Neodiprion lecontei: one gene and its partners. The protein of the gene in region 1 purifies or fractionates together with the protein of each later gene. This does not show direct contact. Links are inferred from orthologs where the notes say so. Each region holds a gene or a part of one and is shown in the gene's direction. Other genes may lie near its edges. The genes, in order: 14-3-3 protein epsilon, bifunctional purine biosynthesis protein ATIC, GRB2-associated-binding protein 2 and actin-binding LIM protein 2.

Region 1 (7,668 bases):
TCTTTACTTGGCAACGTCTTGCAGGCTGAAATTTTAAAGAAAAGAGGATGCTTAAAATTCCCATGCTGCACAACTAATACATAGTACAGAAACAAATATGATATAATTTAATAAATTGAAATAAAAATAAAGGTGGCGTGTGAGCTTCCAAAATATTTAATTAGGGAAGCAACTAGGCTTTGTATACAATATTATTACGAATTTTTCCTGTCCCAGATTTACATTTGTTATTTAATATTATTACTTTATTATCACCATTATTATTATTATTGAAATGAACTTATTGTGTATCCCTATTCCCTGCTGGAATTACATAATAGTGTTGGACTGTTTTCATTAAGATTACATAATTTGAACTTGATTTGTATCAGTATCGGATGAATTGAAAGTACAGACTGTACGGAATTCATTTGTCCGCTTTCAACTTGTTTACGATCCACTGTTATTTCAATAGTGTCATCACACTTACAATTAGACATGATAAATTTTCAAATCGCAGATTATCCTCGAGATTATCTAGGCTCAGAAACGAAAATTTCAACATCTCTTACATTTATGTATATCAATCAAAGAATTAAGCACCAACGACTGTACTTCAAAGTCGGATGACATTGCCCACCAGCTTTTAACTACAAATTCCTCTCCAATGAATGTCCAAAAATGAACATTTGAATGATTCATATCGTGAGGGTTTGAGGAAATTGAAGCTCGATGAGATTGCCATTTGTCGATCACTAGCTGACACCTTGATAGATCAATGGGTGATTCATCTTCAAATTTTCACAACTACAGATTTCTACTTGCAGTATGTTGTACTGTTATGTTAAATCCGTACGATTATTCCCAGGCTGTAATCTAATTTTAACTGTTGATAATTATTGAAAAGATGATACATTATCTGTATACATATAAATACAAAATAATTATTAAATAAATAATATTAAAAACATAAATAAATAAAAAAATATAACGATAATCTGGATAGCGAAAATATTTGGATATTAGAGCTTGTATAGTAGGCATTCGTTGAAGAAGAAAAAATACAACTGCTTCGCTATATGAAGTTTTTATTCCATGACAAGATTATTGAATATCCTTGATCACAGGTTCATACCAACACCCGCATTCCCCACTCTAGTCTCTTGACATTTTTTTATAAATAATGTTTTCCTATCGTCAATAAAAACTAATTTTATTATATGCGCATCGTGCGCGATGTATAAATTAGTATACAGGTATACATTTATACATACGTAAAAATACACGCGTATTTTTTCATGTGTATTTTTAAACTTCCTTACAGCCCGCCGGGCTTTAACATTTCAAATCACTCTGTTGGCTATTTGTGAAAATCAGCATTCGCTTTCTGACGGACAGTTCGTAATAATATTACTAATTACAAGTGTTAAATTCGCATTCGTATTAAACCGGTGCGTATCATTGCAGAAAAATTCACTAATCTTTATCGTGGATGGGGGATTGAAGTTATTTTAAAGCGGCGGATTTACCTGGAAAGCGGACCTACTCATCGTCATACGGCACTAACGTGACGTCACGCGTAGTAATACATTCCACGGCCGAATCACAATGAGTCTTCGAACCTACGCCAATGGGACTGCTTTCGATTGTTGGCGGGCGCCGCCATCTTGGTCAGTGAGCTTGTAAGCAGCCGTCCGAGGAGGTGTCCGTTTTTCGGTGATACGTATCTAGTGCGAATTCTCGAATCCTTTCAGCGACCCCGTGAAATCCGCTAGCATCCAGGATGTCGGAGCGGGAGGACAATGTCTACAAGGCAAAACTGGCCGAGCAGGCAGAACGCTATGACGGTGAGTCGTTATTTTTAACGAAATCTTTCGGCTTCCAACAGAAATTCGGTGAAATTCGTCGATGACCTCACGAAAAAACCTTTCCACAGCTAATTATTCCGTGGTCAATTTTTCCGGTTGTTATACTTGACAGACGATGGGCGTCCTCTCATGTATTTGCACACTTTTTTTTGCCACTTATTTCCAAAGAACTGTCAAAATCTAACTTCAAACGTCAGAACTGACAAATTCGCCTACCGCGCGCAATGCCGGTCCCTCGAGGTGACCCTCCCTTTTGCTTCCTACGCGTTTCTCTACTCTTGATCGGCACTTTAATTACAGCAATGAATAATTCTAGAGTTCGTCGTGGTTATGCCTCGTTAATCATAATCCATGCCGAGTGACTCGGGACAACGTTGCTAGGCGTGTAATCGAACGTGCGATAACCGCATTTCGAGTGACGCATAGACATGGGAAGGCAAAGCTTTTAACCGCACGTATCTATCAACTCGTGTCTAGGCATAAAATCCCTCAAACTTATCGGGATTATCTTCTTCTTCATTGGTTCTTTTTTTCAACCTTGTCCCCATGTCGCGTCTCGTCCTATAGAGTTCCATCATTTCTTTATTCCCGTCCAAAGTAAAGTATGGCTATTCGCTTGGGGACTTTTCCCCCCTCCCGTCTGTGGTGCCTTCAAAAATTACGCTCTACATCTTCGCGCAGTCGTTTACACGCGATATCGCTGTTTCAATTTACATCATTGCGTTTTAAGTAACAGTACAATAAGAACAAGTCCCGTTTTACGAATTCTTGAAAAGGAACGACGAAAAAAACACTACCATCAACTTTTCCCGATTTCTTTTACAATTGAGAACAATTGCGTATACGCAATGTCGTCTTCTTTGATTACTCCGGCAAATACATGCTATGTAGTAGGCTGGTACTCACTGTTTGACAGGAACATGCATTACCTCATGAGCTGTATATTATCTGTTAAGAGCTCCGTGAACGAACAGAAGAGATAATTGAAAATCCGCCCTACTACGGAGCTAAAACCCATTAAAATGTTGCAACAGTTTATCTGTGATGGCAAATCACTTAGATCTTCATTCAGATCCAAACGATATTTCATGATATCACTAATCTTCTTCACAAATATACGTGCTGTGATTTTGGAAAAAATATATAAGTACATTATTTTTAGGTAAAATTATTAATCTAATCTTGATTGGATGCCAATCACAGCATGAACCTATTAATGACTAGGCAAATATTTGAATAGATAAAATATTTATCAAGAAGATCTCAGTCAAAAAGGGTATCAGTGGAGGGTTTAATTTTGAGGGTAGTAAGAGCAAGCAGGCAGAGGGAGAACCAGGCAAGGGGATGAGTGAAGCAAGGGAGGTCGTAGCTGAAGGAAAGTATTGATCTGTGCCTGCTATCCTGTGTCCCTGTACACTCTCTAGCCCATGTACTTTATTCGTGTTAACTCTCTGGTCTTATCAATTCATTGAATAAAAGGAATTACTATGCTACATCAATCATGTATTTTATGCATTTTAGAGAATTATTCGTTTTGATTGTTTTATATGTGCATTTAATTACAGCTGATTAGCTTACACAATTTTAATATTGATTTATCGTAATGATTGCTTGAAGGAGTCTCACCTTTTTTTAATCCTCGTTAAGTTCTCGTTGCATAACGATAATATTTCCATTTTTCAAATTGCTACTTTGGTTGGAGAACTCTCAAGGACTTATCTGCAGGTCCATTTGCTACCGTTTCTCATTCGCTGCAAGAGACTTTAAACTTCATTTAAAGGCAAAGGGTTGCTATTCTGTTCCGTTATTTGGCTTTAAGAAACAGCTGTAAAACTTTTACATTAATCGTAGTTGTTACATTGCTATAGTGTCAAGTTTCATTTTTCTTCGTTTAAGATGTCAACACATATTAGATTTTAAGATGTCTAATTTTCCACTTTCGTCTTTACTTTTAAGGATAACTTTTAAAAATCTTATATGACACTTTAAATTTCCCAGTAAAATATGCTTTATACGCATATTTGTACGTGTCATCTCCAATGACCTAACAATTTTGAGAAAACGGATCTTGATTTTGATCTTTTTAACAGAATAATTTTAAAGGACATTGAGACGAATTTTGCTGTTGTATTATAGGCATTTCGAATTGTTGCAGGAATTTTCTTGTTAAGAAAGGTGAAACAATGCTTTATTTCCTTTTGCTAATTTTTTCTTGCAATTCTTTTACATAAAGTAGAGAAGTTTTTATCAAGAAATTCGAATTATTCAATACATGATTTACAAACCAAGTACTGGACCTCTGGTTTATATGTTATTTAATGAAATGCCAGCTGGAGCAACTGGAGTTCAAAAATTATATCACAGTGATTCTACGTAAATAATGAAATAGTGAATAAAATGGTGTAGATTGCAAACTCTGGATCAAAAAATTTGACAATTACCTCAGAAACTCCCAGTATTTCCGAAAATCACGGAATCACTGACATGGTACTCTGAAATCTATGAATGATTTATGAATCAGAAATACCTCAGAATTTTATTTATATGCATGTAACTTTGTAAGTGATTTTTTTTATTCGTTAGCTCTGAAAAAATTCTAATTTTGACAGTAATAGCTACCAATTAACTTACTATTTTTGACCCCTTAGTGACACCTAATAAGTTCTTGACTTAGATAAAAATAAGAAAACACGAGATAAATAAACTTTGTTTGTCCTCTTCATCAAGTCTTCATTTTCGTTTTTACACATCTTTCATCAGCTAAAAACAGAAGTGTGTGAAAAAATTATTGCTCTTGTCTTGAGAAAGATGTTCCGTAAAGCAAAACTGCATCCTGGCATTTGTAATCCAATGTTAGTTAATTGTATCATGTGTCATAAATTTGACAAACGTTTGAACTTTAGTCATAATATTTGTATTGCAGAGATGGTCGAGGCGATGAAAAAGGTAGCATCCCTCAATGTGGAGCTTACCGTCGAAGAGAGGAACTTGTTGTCCGTCGCGTACAAAAATGTGATTGGTGCGAGAAGAGCCTCATGGCGGATAATCTCTAGTATCGAGCAAAAAGAAGAGAACAAAGGGGCTGAGGAAAAATTGGAGATGATTCGCCAATATCGTTCGCAAGTTGAAAAAGAACTCAGAGACATTTGTGCCGACATACTCGGTGTCTTGGACAAACATCTTATCCCCTGCGCGTCAACCGGCGAGTCTAAAGTCTTCTATTACAAAATGTAAGGACTGTAAATTTATTCTGTTTTATCATTATCTCATTTTCCATATGACATTTTTACTGAGAAACATTGATTCGGTTACAGGAAGGGTGATTACCACCGTTACCTTGCAGAATTTGCAATTGGTAATGACAGGAAGGAGGCGGCCGAGAACTCACTGGTTGCATACAAGGCGGCGAGCGACATCGCAATGACAGAATTACCACCTACTCATCCTATTCGCCTTGGACTGGCTCTTAACTTTTCCGTGTTTTACTATGAGATTTTGAACAGTCCCGATAGAGCGTGTCGCCTTGCAAAGGCTGCCTTTGACGATGCTATTGCTGAATTGGACACCCTTTCAGAAGAGAGCTACAAGGACTCAACTCTCATTATGCAACTCCTCAGGGACAACCTCACCTTATGGACCTCGGATATGCAGGCGGACGGTAAGTCATAGTTATTGTTCTATTGACTCAATAAGGGTTTATGAAATGATATTCTAAATCTTGAAAATTCGTGAACAATATAAAAAGAATTAGTCTTAGATGGGGCATTTTCAATTTCATATCTAGAATCTGAAGTAGAGCAGCCAACTGTTCAAGGAGATGGTGCTATACCCATTACAAGTGATTCCCATCCTTAAGAACACTGTCCAACTCCCCCTCCTTATACCATCATCAGGTTAGAAATATCTCCTTGCTGATCAAGGTCAATTTAAACCAAGAACACCTGTTAATTGAATCGAACAATCAAATTATGAGATTTTCAATAGGATAATTTTCTCTGTAGTTTTTAGGTAAAATTATCATTGATAAAAAATTTGTATTTTCTTGTATTACTACTTAAGTTTTCAAAGATAAAATTGAGCTACTTTTTGTAATAGGCGAAGGCGACCAGAAAGAGCAGCTGCATGATGTGGAAGACCAGGACGTGTCGTAACTTAAGTTGCAGTGAGTGTCATTCGCGCATACAAATGAAAGAAAGAAAAAAAACTGTTAATAATTCTTAAGCAAAAAAAAAAAAAAACAAAAAAAAACAAAAAAACATACAGCGGGTGGGAGTTCAGGGTGGGGAGGGAAGCTCTTTAGCTATCATGTGGTCGTACGTGTGGTAAAACACACATGCGTTCACTCCAAAATCATCCAATCACATGTTGTTGAGTTATGGAGCACGCAGAAAAAGTATAAGAGACGCATCCTGCGTATTAGTGAGATTACAAGCATTTAACAAAGTGAAAATCCGCTGCCTGTTGCAATATTAGTTCCTGGCTGAGTGTAGCTTACACTGTTGTCCTGGGGACCAATTTGCTATATGTAGTTTTCTACATTGCGTACGCTTGGATCCAAATTCTTGAATGCCAATGCGCCGAGACCCTAATTGATAATCAATAATTATGTAATCTTTTAAAAAAATGTAGTTGAACTATCATTAACGTGGATCATGAGAAGAGGTTAGAAAAAAACATAAACATTAACATTTACTCCGTGTAAGAAAAAAAATTGTTATTACCATTTTTTTTTTTACAAACATTCTTATGCTATTGATACGTGCTGAGACATTAAAAATACGAACACTTTGCTACTAATGCAAAATTTTTCATTTTTCCTTCTTTTTTTTTATAATCATAACATTACGTGTATCTATGTGGCGCATTGAAATAAATTATTTTATCCATCATCACCTATATTCATGTACATCAACGTAAATTAATAATCAAACTTATCAATTTGTGAATCTTCAAAATCAATTCGTAAATTGAGAAACTAATAGCTCTCTTTTTATTCGCATCCCTTTTTTTTTCGTTCTTTCTCTTCGTCTTATCCACGTAGCTTAATACTTTTTCTGGAGATTTTACGTAAATATCAGGTATTTCTGTGAAGAAGCTGATGTCTGGTAATCCTGCATGAAACATCTGATGGTGAACTTTTCATTGTATTGCATTCGTTGATCATAAAATGTCATGGAGAGTACCACAATATCTCTTGTTCCTCATATACTTTTACTTACGTAAAATCTGTAAGAGTTTGAATTAAGCGTACGCTTGCAAGACGGACACCGGGCATGCTTAAAAGAAACAATAAAATAAAATTGAAAGAGAAACAATTTGTGGAAATTGGTGTGTGGCGTGCCCCTACATTTAAGTATTATAGCAGTAATATTAATTCTTAATTATATTATAAATATATTACAAAGAATAACATTAAATAATATTGATAATACCATAAGTAAGTATATTAATAATAATTTTAATTGTACAAGGAGCCGATTGAAGTAATTAAGATTAACTTTTGCAATAGTGAAACGTTATATACTGTAAAATTATGAAAATACCACGGGGTATTTAATTATTGAATCTAAAAACAAGACATTTAAAAAAATAACGTGAAAATAAGACAAATGCCAATGCTGACAATGTAGGCAACACACACACGCAATTCGATAAACACTTAGAACCAGTAAATCATATTTTGGAATTCGCATGCGTTCACTCTGTATTAGGAAATTAATACAATACACCAATTACGACTTTTCCTGTAAAGCCACACATGAAAACTGAAAATAAAGTCATTATTACTGTCTATTTTGTGGCTTGTTCATTGAATTTCGAT
Region 2 (5,772 bases), about 9.2 Mb from region 1:
ATGCAATAAGAATTGCCTATGAATGGAAAAGTTTTGATGTTTTCTAAAGCTTTGAGGCAACCGTAAATTTGTCTTTCAGATTTAATGTTTTACAAAAAAAAAGAATGAAGTTCTAAATGTGGTGAACTATTACACTATATTTATGCGGTTTCTCAACAAATTCTTTAATTTATGGATTTTATACATATATTGGAGCTTCAATAGCCACCCTATTGTTCTAGATCTGCCTTGAATTGAATTTGCATTACATATTTATGTAATAACAGCTCGGATTCTTTGAAATAAAGAAAAATTACGATCAGAAAATTTCAAACTATCGTGTTCCCGCAATAAGTAACAATGATTGTTTTGCTTAAATAAATATCGCAATAATTCAATTGGATTGTTCAAAAAATAATTGCACATATATTTCCATGACCTGATTGCAGAGTCTCATTTCTTATAATTTGAAGTGACAATCTCGTATTACTTAATGGTTGAACAGTTAGTTTCATCCACCGTATGACACTTGACACTTGAAATGATTGTTGCAAAAATTTCAGCGGTATCCATTCATACCTGAACTGTGAATTGACATAATCCTTGCGTTGAACCAACCCGCGCTCCTAATCGCGGTAGTTTTACTCAACCGAAAGGTTATGTTGGACATCTAAAATGAAATGAAGATAAGTATTTGTCTAAAATAGACTGGCGGGTGAGGTGGATTTTTAGGTCAACGAAACATTACCATTGTGTCAGTTTACTATTTATCTACTACGATTGTGTTCCGAATATAAGTAAATAGAAAACTTGTTTCCAGGCAGAATTCTTTATCCAAGAATTCACCAAATATTACTATAGGAATGGATGGAATTGGAGTAAAACTGGTTTAGGAATACTCGCAAAGTTACGTAACTTTTCTTTGTTCGGCGTTCCCGATAAGATTTCAGTTCGACAAACACCGCTCCATCCAATTTACGATTGGCATAATCATTATTCCCGCTGGAAATTCATTTCGAGATTGGTAATTGTGCTCGTACTACTGCCAACACGGCCGCGATTGCATGACACGCGTGTCCGCGTTGTGCGCACAAGGTGCGTGCGTGGTGAAGAGCGTTGAGACGTTGACTGAAGAATATGTTGAGAGTTCGGAAGTTTTTCTTTTATGAACTTGGAGCATATCTTTCAGTGATATCCATTGTCCTATTGAAAAAAGCGGGGATTGGCCTGCCGCAAAAACTGAATGACAACTTACCGACATCGACGATTATAACAGATCAGTACGGGTACACCTTATGTTGTCAACGAGATTCAAAATGTTCAAAATGAAACGTTCTATGTTTCTATGATTGACTGTTAATTAAATACATTTAAGGACACACGGAAAGGTCGCTATGTTATTCTATTGGTTGTATGAAAGCACATTATTTACGATGACGTAATAATCGTGTTATAAATATGAGCGCTCCCAGCATAATGGAATACATATTTGAATAAATGTCTTATAACCGGCCTGGCAAATATATTTTTGTTCCAGAGATGTTTATAAAATGCACAGCGCTTCAATGTCCGATAACTTTTGACCCTGGACCCCCGCAGACCGTGAGATAAGTCCTTTGACGCACTCGGTTGAACGAGCTAAATAACAATTGGCGGGATTGAGGCTATAAATGCAGGGATCCGCTTCAGGGTCATACACTTGTTGCCTATCGAACCATACATACGGCACGCGTGTCTGACTCCATTGAAATTAATCTCGTGCCCGTTCAGGCATATTTCGGTTGTGTTTTCGAAGACTGAAGGCTCCTTAACTACCGTAAATATGAGTGGAAAGCTTGGTGAGAATCATTCTGCTACACATTTCAATTAACTTTATTTATATTTACCAGCATTCTTATTGCTCAAAATTCTTTGTGGAACTTACACCGGTTCCCGAGATGTGGGTTAACTTTACCTTTGTATCGGCACATACATTTTCCCTTTACGAAGATACGAACTTAGAATATATGTAATATATTTTATTCCGCAGCCCGCAAACTCACTGTTGTAATTATGTATTTGGTAATGTACTGGATATCCTCCCCTTCAAACTAATAATTGATATGGATAAATTATGATGATAGTTGTTTCTTTTATTTTCTTGCATCCACATCAGTTTATTATCGTTTATTGCGATTGTGCCTGAGGTAAAACGTAGGCACAAAACTGTTATTAATATTGTGTATTTTGTTGCAGCTTTGTTGAGTGTGTCTGATAAGACGGACTTATTACCTTTTGGTAAAAAACTATGTGACTTGGGCTTTGTACTAGTCGCATCCGGAGGTACCGCCAAATCTCTGAGAGACACTGGCCTACCAGTTAAAGATGTATCAGACATCACGGGAGCTCCTGAAATGCTTGGCGGACGAGTTAAAACTCTTCATCCCGCGGTTCATGCAGGTACGATTTAATAATCTTTAGATTATTAACAATGATAATGTGTGGTAAATGATTCACAAATTTAGCCTGAATGAATGTTACTGAATTCAATATGGTTCACCAATAGTCATTGAATTTAATGGTCATTAATCTATGTGTTTTTTCCAATCTCTTTGGCTTTGATATGTTCTATATAGTCACTTTATCATTTAATTGTAATGTCGAACACCAAGATGTACGAATCATGCAAAGGATGGTGCCTTTCCGATTACAATATCTCATGAATGAACAGAGCTATATAATCATTTAGGTTAAATTGAACCCAGTGAAAATTTTGTATGTGCTTTTTAATATTATCATTTTATTACTATGCATTTATAGGTATTTTGTCTCGCTTGAGTGATTCAGATCAAGCTGATCTGAAAAAGCAAAATTATGAGATGATAAGCATTGTAGTATGCAATCTTTATCCATTTATGAAGACCATAACTAAGCCAGACGTCATTGTTGATGATGCTGTAGAAAATATTGATATCGGTGGTGTGACTTTGCTAAGGGCTGCCGCTAAAAATCATGCAAGAGTCACCGTTATCTGTGACCCTGTTGATTATAATAAGGTTATCGAAGAACTGGAAAGCTCCTCTGACAGAGATACTTCTCTTGTTACTAGGTATTCAAGCTTTCATTTTTATATCTTATTGGGTTTTAATTGTGTTGTTATTTACTTGCTTTAAACTTCAGAATGCCCTAGACTTATGCTTATATTATGCTGTATTTTATATTTTTGTACTTAGTAATTAGTCGATCACGTGAAAAACGATCACAGCACAAGTCTTACCAGTCATTGATATTCATTATTTAAGTTTTACCACTTTTAACTTGAAACTTTACCAGCTAAAGGTGTTAAAGGTTGTTTAAGGGCCAATAGCATGACCCTAACATATATTTATTTTGAAATTGCAGACAGTCCTTGGCTCTCAAGGCATTCACTCACACAGCTGAGTATGATAATACCATTTCTGATTACTTCCGTAAAGAGTACAGTGCAGGAAAATCTCAGCTTACACTTCGCTATGGCATGAATCCCCACCAAAAACCAGCGCAGCTTTTCACTACTCTAGAAAAGCTTCCGTTGACAGTTGTTAATGGTTCACCCGGATTCATAAATCTTTGCGATGCCTTAAATGGTTATCAGTTGGTCAAAGAACTTAAAGCTGCGCTCAATTTACCGGCTGCAACTTCATTCAAACATGTTAGCCCAGCTGGTGCAGCAGTCGGTGTCTCACTAGATGCCGACCAAGCAAAATTATGCCAAGTCGAAGATTTGTTGGATAAATTGACTCCGCTAGCTTGTGCGTATGCTAGAGCTAGAGGAGCGGATAGAATGTCTAGCTTTGGAGATTTTGTTGCCTTGTCAGACCCTTGTGATGTCATTACTGCCAGGATTATTTCACGGTAAGAATTAGCAGTATTCACATAGTTTTCATGATCAGATTTCAATGTAGAATTTCAATCTTAATTGGAATTTCTAAGTGAAATTCAGTTCCAGGTTATTTAATCATTATTTTCCATTGCAGCGAAGTATCTGATGGCATTATTGCTCCTGGTTATACACCAGAAGCACTTGAACTGTTGAAAAAAAAAAAAAATGGCGGCTACTGTGTTCTACAAATAGATCCAGACTACACACCAGCTCCTGTGGAACGCAAAATTCTCTATGGTCTTACCATGGAACAGAAGCGTAACGATGCGATCATTGACAAAAATCTATTTACCAACATCGTAACACAGCAAAAAGATTTACCAGAAGGAGCCATCCGAGATTTGATTGTAGCAACCATAGCTCTCAAATACACTCAAAGTAATTCTGTATGCTATGCACGAGACGGACAGATAATTGGTATTGGCGCTGGACAGCAATCTAGAATACATTGCACAAGACTCGCGGGTGACAAGGCTGATAACTGGTAAGTTGTTGATTTACATTGGGTATGTCGCAGTGAACTGAAACGACCTTAGTTAACCTTCCCACAAAAAGAAATTTGCATTTGTTGACTTTTAAGTTGAAAACATTTCATTTTAAGGTGGCTTCGTCAGCACCCTAAGGTTACGGGAATGAAATTTAAAAAGGGGATAAAAAGGGCAGAAATTTCAAACGCCATAGATAACTACGTAAATGGATCAATTGGAAAAGATATGGACCGAGAAAGTTGGGCTGCTGTTTACGCAGTGGTTCCAGAACAGTTCACTGAAAAGGAACGATCAGATTGGGCTAAAAAATTGGATGGTGTTGCTCTTAGTAGCGATGCCTTCTTTCCTTTCAGGGATAACGTTGACCGAGCCAGATTGGTTAGTAGAGAATTGAAAATTCTCAGTTATCTGCTTTCATTTCTAATCGTTACCGTATTGTAACGAACTATTTTTATTGCTAAATTTGTTTTATTACAGAGCGGTGTTCGATACATTGCTAGTCCAGCTGGTTCCACCAATGATGAAGTTGTGATTAAGGCTTGTGACGATCACAAAATCACTATGGCACACACCAAACTTCGTCTATTCCACCATTGAATTGTTTAGTCCAATTCGGTATATCCCCACTTAGGGAAAGTTGCTGGATTTGGGTGATATGTAGTGTATGTTATCGATCTGAGTATTTCGAATATTCCTGTTATTCCTAGATAAATGTATTTTTATGCATTACTGTTATCACTATTAATTTGGTAGTTTTATACAAATTTTGCCATATTATGTTATACGTATGATATATAAATTTAATGATTTTAGGCTCCTTGGTATTTTTCAACAAGACTTGTATTTCTAAAGATGTTCAATATATTGCTTTTTCTAAATAACCTAATTTTATACGTACATTATTTCTTCACTTCTGTACAATTACACAATATTGAAAGATACTTTAAGCTGTACGTAAGATTTAAATTTTCACGTTATAATTCTACACCTAACAGAATATTAGGGTAGTTGGTTATATGCCCCAGTTTTGAAATGTTATAAAACCGCTTCATTCAGAACCAATGATTCATTTTCAATGTTGGCTAAATTCGGATCATTCGGTTTTCAATAGTGTTCCATTATCTCCCATGTTCCATTATGAATTGATTTAATGGGAAAATAGGCAAAACTGTTCTCTTGTCTCATGATCAGTAGCTTAGTCTGTCGAATTTATTCCATGTGAGCTGAACGGAAATCATATTTTCATACAAATAAACCTCACAGAAATTCAACCATCATTGTTAAACGATGAAAACAAAAATCGATTTTAGCGTTGAGAAAATGCGTTCGGAATTCAGATTCTACTGTCTTAAAACTTCAAACTTCGTATCCAACCATATCCAACATAAAGTTGAAACGAAGGGA
Region 3 (4,727 bases), on another chromosome or scaffold:
AGAGAAGACTCAGATCGTTTTCAGAATCTGTTTTAGGTAATTAACGGTATACATTCGCAAACCTTCTCTACCAATTTTTATAGTTTCGGGTAGATATACTTTGACAACTTTTGATATTTGTGTTAAACACACAGTCATCATGCCATCGGTATCATCTATTTCCTAGTCTAATCCAATTGGTCGAGGAACTGCTTTCCTCTTTCTTTTGGCCATTGCAACTTCTTCGCTGTTTTGGTGTTCTTCTACGATTTGACTTGTTTCTCCGTGTTCATCATCAGCTTTGAGCTCATCTTTTAGAATAGATTGCTCTTGTGCTTTAGTATCATCATCTGAACTTACACTCATATCTGATACTGCACTAAAATCAGTAGTTAACTCTTCTATCCTAGGATCTGACTTTGCCATAATGATGGCTTCGAACAAATCTTTTAAATCATCAAAGACTTGTTTGGCTCCATCCGTTGATATGCCTTCTGCCCATCCGATTATCGTAGACTTTGACACTCGTTTTGCATGAAAATCTTTGTGAGTCATAATCATCTTAAGCTTGTCTTCATAGTTAGTAGCAGCTTGTCTAAGTGATATACAACATTCACATGTATATTCACGCATAGTGTCAGACATTGTGATCCACATAGCTAAGATTAAGGATATCCATATTTGCAAATCCATCATGAATCTTTTGGTGTCGTATTCACCAGATTCATCATCCCTGTAGTGTATTGGATGTGGACATGCTGCATGGAACAGAGTTCTCACTGCTTGAATGCTCATGCGATATCTTATCTCTTGCTGGTTTATTGCTCTTCTTCTCTTTGATCTAGTAAGGATTTTAGTTTCAGTCTGCATTCTGTATCTATATATTCGGTCATCGAAAATTTCTTATATGATCCATTATATTTTGGTGCATATCTGGGTAACTAAACCCCCGAAGAAAGGGGCGTGTCGTAGGAGTTCTAGGCACACCATGGGTGTATTCCGAAATATACTCGCAGTACTGCAAGTACTGGCAACTGAACGCTGTTGATCACGTGATCGAAGCACTGAGAGCACCTTACCTTGAAAGCACCAGTGTTCACAGTAGAAAAATGGCGACGATTTATGACGTCATATATTTCCCTAGGATACTGCGACTGCATACAGTCAGTCTATATCGGAACGAATTTCTCCCCAGTAAGAGCACTGAACAGTGCTCGCAGTGTATATTGGAACATACCCTTCGTGTTTTCAGTGTGTTGGCAAGTATTGAGCAAAGATCCAATCCTCTTTGGTCTGGTTTTTCATGGGCAACAAAATGCTGCCGCAGTGTTTTACTGCCTAGTTCGTGGCCAATAGGAATGTCAAGAAAATAGATATTTCACATTCAGCGCATACTAAGTGGCGCTAGTATCAACACATCGACTCATTGCTCATCGAGTTTTAATCATCTTCAAAAGGTAAGATAATTTTCATTAATTAATACAAGGATAATCCTATTCCCGGTTTGTTCGAAAAGCGGGATTGAGCATCCACTGTCTAGTGCATTCCAATGCTAGTTGGTATTTGGTCACCCAGAACTACTGATTGTGTCTAGCTGTGCCATCACGATTAGATCCAGTGTCTAGCTTCTGGAATCGTTGGGGACAGCAGTTGCGACGTCACACTCATGATTAAAAATCACCCTATGACTTCAATAGCAGATGTTTCAGTCCTCTTCATGCCATTGCTTTATACGTTCTTTATACTATGTCTTTTAGACGTTCGTGGATCAAACTTCCTGTAGTGACGAACGAAGTGAGATAACCTTATCTTACAAACTAACTTTGGTTGTGTGTCGAGATTACGATGCTCGTTGGTGAGCTACTTGCCTGTGTATCGACCAAAAATAGATAAATGGACCGAATACGTGCGTGTTAGTCGCTCGGTCTTCTCAATGATGTGTCATTAATCGTTACGACTCGTTAAGAAGTGTGTAGGGCATGGATACGCTCAAAACAAGCCAAGAAATCGTCCACGAAGGCTGGCTTATAAAATCGCCACCCTCAAAATTGTGGAAAGCGGTAAGGTTTCCTCTAAAATCTAATCGAAGATGACTCTTTCCATTGTTTACGTTAACCAGGGCTTCTATCATCCGACAATTAATCATTCCCATTTAACGCTCGGATAACCCCTGTTTTAATTGAATGGGATTCATACATCGTCAAGCCCCACTCTTGATCGGGACACTTCGAACCGTTTTAAATGGGTTAACATTTTTCCTAACAATATAACCGTCAGTCTAACCTAGGAAGTGAAAGATATCCTTTCCACCTCATACCTGGATACTCGTGAGACCCCAAAAGAATTTGTAGTCTTGTCTTTCCCAATTCAATTCTGAATCAATCTTTTTATTCGCTTGGGTTTTTCCTAATAATCATTGATTGTTTGCTCAACTGTGGAAATTGGCTCAACGCCACCACGGACAGCTAGTCAGGTATCTGTGTGTTGCACATACTTCAGATCTCGGTTTATCCTACTTAAATTTATGACGTATTCCTAATAATCATTGTTTGTTGTCAATTTACTTTAATCTTAGTCGTCTTTGTCATATTTGCTGAGCTACTGTTTCCAGTATTTTTACAGGCAACTATTCCAAATGTAAACTTATTTAGAGCATCTAATCAAAGCCTCAAAGTGATTATACATAATTATCAGTATTCTTTGACATCTCAGTTAGCATACTTAATTTTATTCTTATTTATGTGTAATCTTATTTATGTGTATGTGGTATAGAATCACTTGTCATAATATGTAGATAGCATTGTTGATGAATAATTTGTGTAATTTGGTAGAAGCACATAAAAATAATGTTACTTTAGGCAAATCTAATAATATTTGACTGTTTCCATTCATTCGTATGTAATCTTCCTTACATCTTTTTTGAATTATGATATTTTTCCCTCATAATGAATACATTTCAACTCTTACTTTTCTGATTTATTCACTAGGGTTCAATATCTTAGTTTTCATTGACACACAGCTCTGTGAATTATGCTGCAACGAAAACGAATCTCCTTGAAACTGATTCTAACGTAACTAACTAGTCAGCATCTGTTGCAACCAGAAAAAACCTGTTTCATCAGTACTGTCCAATTATTTGAATTCCAACAGAAAGTAATGTTCCACGAAAGTTATCAATGATAGATCTAGATATTGGACTGTTTTAAATCAATTTGGTGTTATTATGCTACATATGCACCTCATTTTGTCAAGTAGTTATTGTTGTCTGCCACACCCAATTTGTTTTTCGTAACAACATTGAAGCAGAACATTCAACAAATTCTTACCGTGTATCGTACCTCGAAACTGATTGCTCTAGAGATGGCGAAAGCGTTGGTTTGCGCTCCGTCACAGCGGAGAATTGCCTGGACAATATTTCTTGGAATATTACACAGACAGACGTTGCAGAAAGCTCAAGGGCCGCATAGATTTGGATCAATGCGAGCAGGTAATTATTTTTATTTCCAAAAATTCTAAAAACGTCATTAAAGTTAGTTTTTGCCAAAAATTACAAGTTATTTGCCATTTAAGAATGAGAATAATCGTTGATTAATCAACTACAAATGTGCAGGTGGATGCTGGCTTGAGATTTGAAAATCGAAAGCAGAAATATCAGTTCATGTTCGACGTGAAGACTCCGAAAAGAACTTACTACCTGGTGGCAGAGAGCGAAGCTGACATGAACAAGTGGGTTGATGCAGTTTGCCAGGTTTGCGGTTTGAAAGCTTACACACAGGATGATGAGCCGCACTGTCAAAGTAAGTCTGAAAATAAGTATCTATATCTAAAACTACTTGTTAAATTAACAATTCTGTTACAAATTGTCTGTTTATTAAATATTAATTGAATTTGAAAATGCAGATCTTTGTTTACGAAAGACATTTTTTGGTTCTTTGGTATTTTTGCTGTGTAGACGAATATACTTTTAACACATTCCAGTGACGCAAAGTAAAGTTGTCTATGTTTCAATTTTTCTCTTCAACAGTATTTCCATTCGAGCCTCAAGAGTCGCCTCCGATCTCACCAACCAGTACTATATCTGGACCCTACATTCCAATCAGTGAATGCATTTCTGGCCGCTCCTTGAACGACACAAGCTCTCTTAGTTCTGCCCTGGGACAGAATACAGAACAATATTATGATGCCCCAAGAAAGTTGGCTCCCTCTCCACCCAGATCTCCGACTACAACTGATGCAGAAAGTGTATTTACTGACGATGAATGGACTTCTCCAGTTCCTAGTGTTAATTGGGAGACATTTCCTTCGTCTCGTAAGTAAAAAATTGTAATTAAAGCCGCAGTTGACCTTAATTGATCAGCTTTAACTCACGGATATTGCTTTCAAAATTTAAGTGTATTTGCAATGATTTGTGAGGAAAGAAGATGCTGTCTCCTTTGAATTAGATTTTGTTTTTAGAAAATCAATCCATGTGTTGATTCCTTCGTAAAGGCTCATTTAATTGATTTGAGCTTTTTAGTAATATGTTACATAATATTGACATCGACTCAACTATGATTGTACAAATTAAATTTATTATCTGATGTTCCTAGAATTTCAACTATGAGAAACTCATTCTTCCGAATGTTTTTGGTTGGAAATTTACTTTATTTATTATTTGCATTCATATTAACTTTTACTGTCATTTTTTGAAATTTCTATTTGGACCACTTTCTTTTTACACCGTTTTTGATCCACCATTTGCCTATTAG
Region 4 (4,680 bases), on another chromosome or scaffold:
GAATGCCACAACCATTGATACCATTCAGCACGATGTAGTTAGATGTTCTTTTAGTGGTATACGCAGATGGTATCAAATTCGCTATATTCGCATCTTAGGACGAGAACCGAACGGACGCTATTCATAATGACTGGGTTACAGAGAAAACCACATGAATGTAACGATTCGTTCATATTCAAGTTATTACACACTACGCTCCGAGAAGTTTGTAATTCAAGACGTTGCAATCTTATCTTTACTTAGAGTCAGATAGCGACTGGATATTTTATACAGTTCGTTATTAGCAAGTACTATCAAACTGTCGATGGAACTAAGAACAAATAGTGATTGATTTCGATGTGAAATTGTTTTCATTTCAAAAGAGAATAGCGTGTTACATTTTTTTTTTCAACGTTTCACCTGTAAAACTAATGATTGCATGTAATTTTTTTGTAATTGCATCTTTCGTACAGACATTTTCATCGAATGTCTATTTGTGGTATTTGTAACGTTATGTATTTGTAAAGTTATATTTGCAATCCCCTGTCCGGGGGAGTTATATGCTACGATATATCAGAAAATGGTAAAATCAACACGAATGATGTCACAACTAGGAGAAATTTGCTTATCATCGCATATCTCAAAATTTTTTACTTCCGACTGATCACGAAGACTCTTGTGATTTTTACCGTTAGCCGAACTATAAATAATCCTTCCCGGTGTAACATAGTCGAAGGTCGAAAACTTGTATGAAAAAGTATACGCAGTCTCCGTCAATCAATCGTGTCTAATGGCGAAACGAAAAATGTCCATACATCCAGTGCCTCGAATGAGATGAGGTTGGAGTTCTATGTGACGTGGAGTTACACGTTACGTTAGTGTAACAATACATATTTTGGGACGATAAATCGTTGTTTCGCAACTGCCAGATTGCCTGAGATTTGGTACACTGTAATCATGAAAAAAATACTCATATTCTGCAAACTTCAACTACTTCTGTCTCATTGTAATTTGCGATATGGCGGTTATGTCTGAACGTATCGTCATGTAAAACAAGTCGGTTGTGAAGTCGCGTTATGAAATTCTGGGACTTTGAATGAAGAAGGGTGGGCTGACGGATGGTGCGCAGGCCAACCATGTTTATCCTGCAGCAAATTAGTTGTATTACGAAGCAATTGGACATTGCACGAAATTGAGGAGGAAGATTCAAGTGGGTATTTTCAGTCTGCAATTTTTGCTGCATTCACAAGAACGGTATTAGGTAGTGCGAGCTTCGTACATCCTGAGGTAACCTCGAGTTACCAATTATAACAGTTAATCGTTTGGATTGTTTTTCACGCCTTTATCTTATCGCTAGCGGGTTAGAGCCGAGGCAGACGAGGTGTGGAGTCGCCGCCGCACCTCGAGAAATACGTGCGTCCCTCACCTTCGGACTTACATAACTGCCGTAGGATTATTGCTGGAAACAACATATAAACCTGCGTGAATCATGTATATATATATATATGTATATATATATATAGCAAAAATATAAAATCTCTTATTCCTGGTGCGTGTGTGTGTATATATATATATGACATGACATGACACGATTCACCTAGGTTTATATGTCATTTTCAGCAATAATCCTGTTGCACTTATGTGAGTCTGCATGTGTGAGCGTGCGTGTGTGTGTGTATACCAAATGAAGACCAAGATGGACGAAAAGCTTACCTCGATGGAGAGCAAAAATATAAAATCTTCTCCCGGTATAGGTGTGGCTGATAATAATAATAATAATCAGACAAAAAGTGCCGAGGATACAAGGAAGCTTTTCAAAAAGCGTGAGAATTTCTACCATTATCATCCGTGTGTCAGTGCAATGTTCAACATAGTTTTAATACTAGGTCTGAGCTTACGATACGCTTCGTAGACATGATTTTTTTTCCGTATTACAATTACCATTTTTTGGTGGAAATGTACGTAATGTTACGGAATATTCAAGTACCTTGGGTATGATGACGAAACGCCGTAAAGGTGTCCTTGTACTGATCATTTAGCATTATACGAAATTTGTTAATATGCAATTATAAGAGGCTACGTATGTAAGAATCGTACACAGTTGCTAGAAGCTGACATTACAGCCGACCTCAGAAGTGCATTAGGTTATTATATTTGACCCCACTTGACAGCATCCTATTTAACTCCATGTCTGAATTGTATTAACATATCATTAAGAATTATAGTGGCATTTGGTCACATATATTTCGCATGTGTTAAAAAATATAGGAATGAGTTCAGGAACGAGAAAAAAGAGTGAAAACGAAAATAGCAGCGCGGAAACAGTAATTTAGCCAGTCCGATGAAGAGTTCAGCGTTTACAACATATGACGTCATGTTAAGTGTTATTATGATGTCACCACGTATTTTTAAACCGTTGTAGCGAGAAGGCTTAATACATTATACATAGATATATATACCAACAAGCATATACATGCATATACTGGATACTTATATGTGTACGGTTTCGATTGTTTACGCAGTTATGGATATTTGCTCTCGATTCGCTCCTTCTTACTTGTTGCACCAACAATTGAAGGCCTATTGCAAATACCGAAAACGGGTAAAACATTGATAATTATCCACTTGAAACTCGAGTATATGCAATTTTACGTATTACTGAAACTTTTAAAAATATCAGAGGTCAATTGTGCCCCACTTGTAGAGTTCGTCAATTGGTTGATGAATGAATCTGCGATTTGATCAATTAAAAGACGATAAAAGTACGTAACAATGAAAAATATCGAAAGTACACCGTGTCGGAGTATAAAGGCAGATCACTCTGTGCCAAATTCTATGAGCACATCATGAACCGCAGAATTGGTAAAACCACTGTATAATCACTCGTCAATTTTATTTTGGAGACAATTTACTGCTGCATAATTTGAAAATTTGTGTCAACCACCAGCGATAATTAATACAACGGATGTCGAAATCCTCTGCGAATATATAGGAACTTGAACAGGATCTTGAAATCGACAAAGTCCTGATTTTTATTGTTCAATATCGTCATGAAATTCTTCTCCCAGTGTCGTCGACTGCCTTGTCGACTTTCACGGTGTTATATCTATAATGTCGAATGTTTTCTCTTTTTTTGTCGGATGTGGCCCAGTACGCCTGATCACGGCGTACGCGAGCATTGAAATTCTTGCGGCTGTTCAGAATAACATGACATACCTGATTTGTTAAATCTTTTCCAGATACATTATACTTTATTTATTCGAAAAAATTTTCTATACGAAACCTTTTTTACGTCAAGGTGGTTGTAACGGAAATTAAAAAATGAGATAAGTTGTTGATATTTACAAGAGGCATTCATCCGCAAAATATACGTCATCTATTAAAAGTTGATATACTTTTACTATTTCATTTCTGATAAAATAGGGTTCGGAGTTCGTATCTTAAACATATGCTTAGATAGAAATTGCAAAAAATAAGTGAAATTGTCGTACCCCTCCTTGAGAAAAACATTTGACATTCATATCAAAACATATTAGATCATGTATTGTATTTTTTTTCATAATTAGATAACGTGTTCATAAGTTTTCATCGTGCCATATATGAAAAATATTCTAAAGTAAGACTGTGAGGTATAAGCGACTCTGCACCTCTTTTGCTCTCTTAGAAGGAACCTTCACGCGTCACCGCGCGTTTCACTCGCACTATTTCGCCGCGCCGCACGCTGGCCCGCTTACGTAGTTGTCATGATTTTGACGTTACAACCTCCTTAACTCCGCGGATTCGACAACTCTATTCACATGGAAGATTGGGAAAATTAGAGAAATTTTCAAACTAATGATAATATTGGATAACTTTGATATAAAGCCTGTAATACAGTTTTATTGTCCTAGTAATTTGCCCATTGCAAAAATTACTTGTTTGGGATCCACTGTATACAAGGTATCCCGTTTTAAACGAGTCATGACGACATCTTGAAAACTGAGCGTGGTTCACGAAAAAGTTTTAGATCAAAGTTGTTCGGTTTCAAATGCCAAAGCTGTTGAATTATTATATAAAACTATTGAGAAGTTGACGTGCTTGTAGGTCGTGCCGAATTTAAGAAATCGAAATAGGGTTGGCATCGTATCTTGCCAGTCATCTCAAACGTCAAATACTATTTGCTTTGAGAATGTTGAATATTATTTGTTTTGATAACGTTTGGGTTGGCTGTGACGGTATACGATCACTGAACTCTCATACGATTGTTGCATTTCAGCTGATACTACAGCGGATACGATGCTTAACCTAAAATGCGAGCTGTAACTCCAGTTACTTAAAAAGGCGTATGTATCGTTCCGCAGATAGAGAACCTCACTGTACACGTCCTTAGTCAACGTTGAAATCAACAAAATAAGCAGTTCTTAAATACAATAAAAACGGGCACGTGACATATCGTGAAAAACTACAGCAGTGCTAATAATAACATATAAGGGATACAGCGATACCCGAATTCCAACTTTTCAAGTTCCCAAAAAATCTATGAGGTTGAAGTTAATAACTTTACTGTAACAAGGCTTGTTTAAGAAATATCGTTACTTCGCACCTTTAGGATTATCTGAGTAGACCACAATGAACAAAATATATTCATAATTTGGAAAACCAACTTCTTGAAAGTCATTCCTACTTGAACTTTAATTTGTGAAAAAACCAAGTTTGATTTGC

What was found.
Region 2: the proteins of 14-3-3 protein epsilon (region 1) and bifunctional purine biosynthesis protein ATIC fractionate together in Homo sapiens (co-fractionation; 3 studies listed by BioGRID). This does not show direct contact. The link is inferred for Neodiprion lecontei from reciprocal best matches to the Homo sapiens genes YWHAE and ATIC.
Region 3: the proteins of 14-3-3 protein epsilon (region 1) and GRB2-associated-binding protein 2 purify together in Homo sapiens (affinity purification with mass spectrometry; 4 studies listed by BioGRID and IntAct, with this or other methods). This does not show direct contact. The link is inferred for Neodiprion lecontei from reciprocal best matches to the Homo sapiens genes YWHAE and GAB2.
Region 4: the proteins of 14-3-3 protein epsilon (region 1) and actin-binding LIM protein 2 purify together in Homo sapiens (affinity purification with mass spectrometry; 3 studies listed by BioGRID and IntAct, with this or other methods). This does not show direct contact. The link is inferred for Neodiprion lecontei from reciprocal best matches to the Homo sapiens genes YWHAE and ABLIM1.

The regions. Positions count from the first base shown.
Region 1 is NC_060262.1:34,812,838-34,820,505, forward strand, and holds 14-3-3 protein epsilon, read left to right. Parts: upstream 1-1,633; 5' UTR 1,634-1,762; coding exon 1,763-1,826; intron 1,827-4,770; coding exon 4,771-5,077; intron 5,078-5,161; coding exon 5,162-5,505; intron 5,506-5,631; coding exon 5,632-5,702; 3' UTR 5,703-5,740; intron 5,741-5,942; coding exon of another isoform or gene 5,943-5,998; 3' UTR 5,999-7,640; downstream 7,641-7,668. UniProt on the Homo sapiens protein: Adapter protein implicated in the regulation of a large spectrum of both general and specialized signaling pathways. Binds to a large number of partners, usually by recognition of a phosphoserine or phosphothreonine motif.
Region 2 is NC_060262.1:25,615,770-25,621,541, reverse strand, and holds bifunctional purine biosynthesis protein ATIC, read left to right. Parts: upstream 1-1,651; 5' UTR 1,652-1,801; coding exon 1,802-1,817; intron 1,818-2,214; coding exon 2,215-2,418; intron 2,419-2,778; coding exon 2,779-3,067; intron 3,068-3,360; coding exon 3,361-3,852; intron 3,853-3,974; coding exon 3,975-4,364; intron 4,365-4,481; coding exon 4,482-4,746; intron 4,747-4,845; coding exon 4,846-4,965; 3' UTR 4,966-5,254; downstream 5,255-5,772. Other genes in the region: 3-hydroxyisobutyryl-CoA hydrolase, mitochondrial, read right to left, coding at 559-649, 1,235-1,240. UniProt on the Homo sapiens protein: Bifunctional enzyme that catalyzes the last two steps of purine biosynthesis.
Region 3 is NC_060265.1:9,032,949-9,037,675, forward strand, and holds the start of GRB2-associated-binding protein 2, read left to right. Parts: upstream 1-1,719; 5' UTR 1,720-1,958; coding exon 1,959-2,039; intron 2,040-3,337; coding exon 3,338-3,466; intron 3,467-3,589; coding exon 3,590-3,776; intron 3,777-4,003; coding exon 4,004-4,288; intron 4,289-4,727. Other genes in the region: uncharacterized protein LOC124294987, read right to left, coding at 163-849. UniProt on the Homo sapiens protein: Adapter protein which acts downstream of several membrane receptors including cytokine, antigen, hormone, cell matrix and growth factor receptors to regulate multiple signaling pathways.
Region 4 is NC_060260.1:13,824,406-13,829,085, forward strand, and holds the start of actin-binding LIM protein 2, read left to right. Parts: upstream 1-1,660; 5' UTR 1,661-1,663; coding exon 1,664-1,802; intron 1,803-4,680. UniProt on the Homo sapiens protein: May act as scaffold protein. May play a role in the development of the retina. Has been suggested to play a role in axon guidance.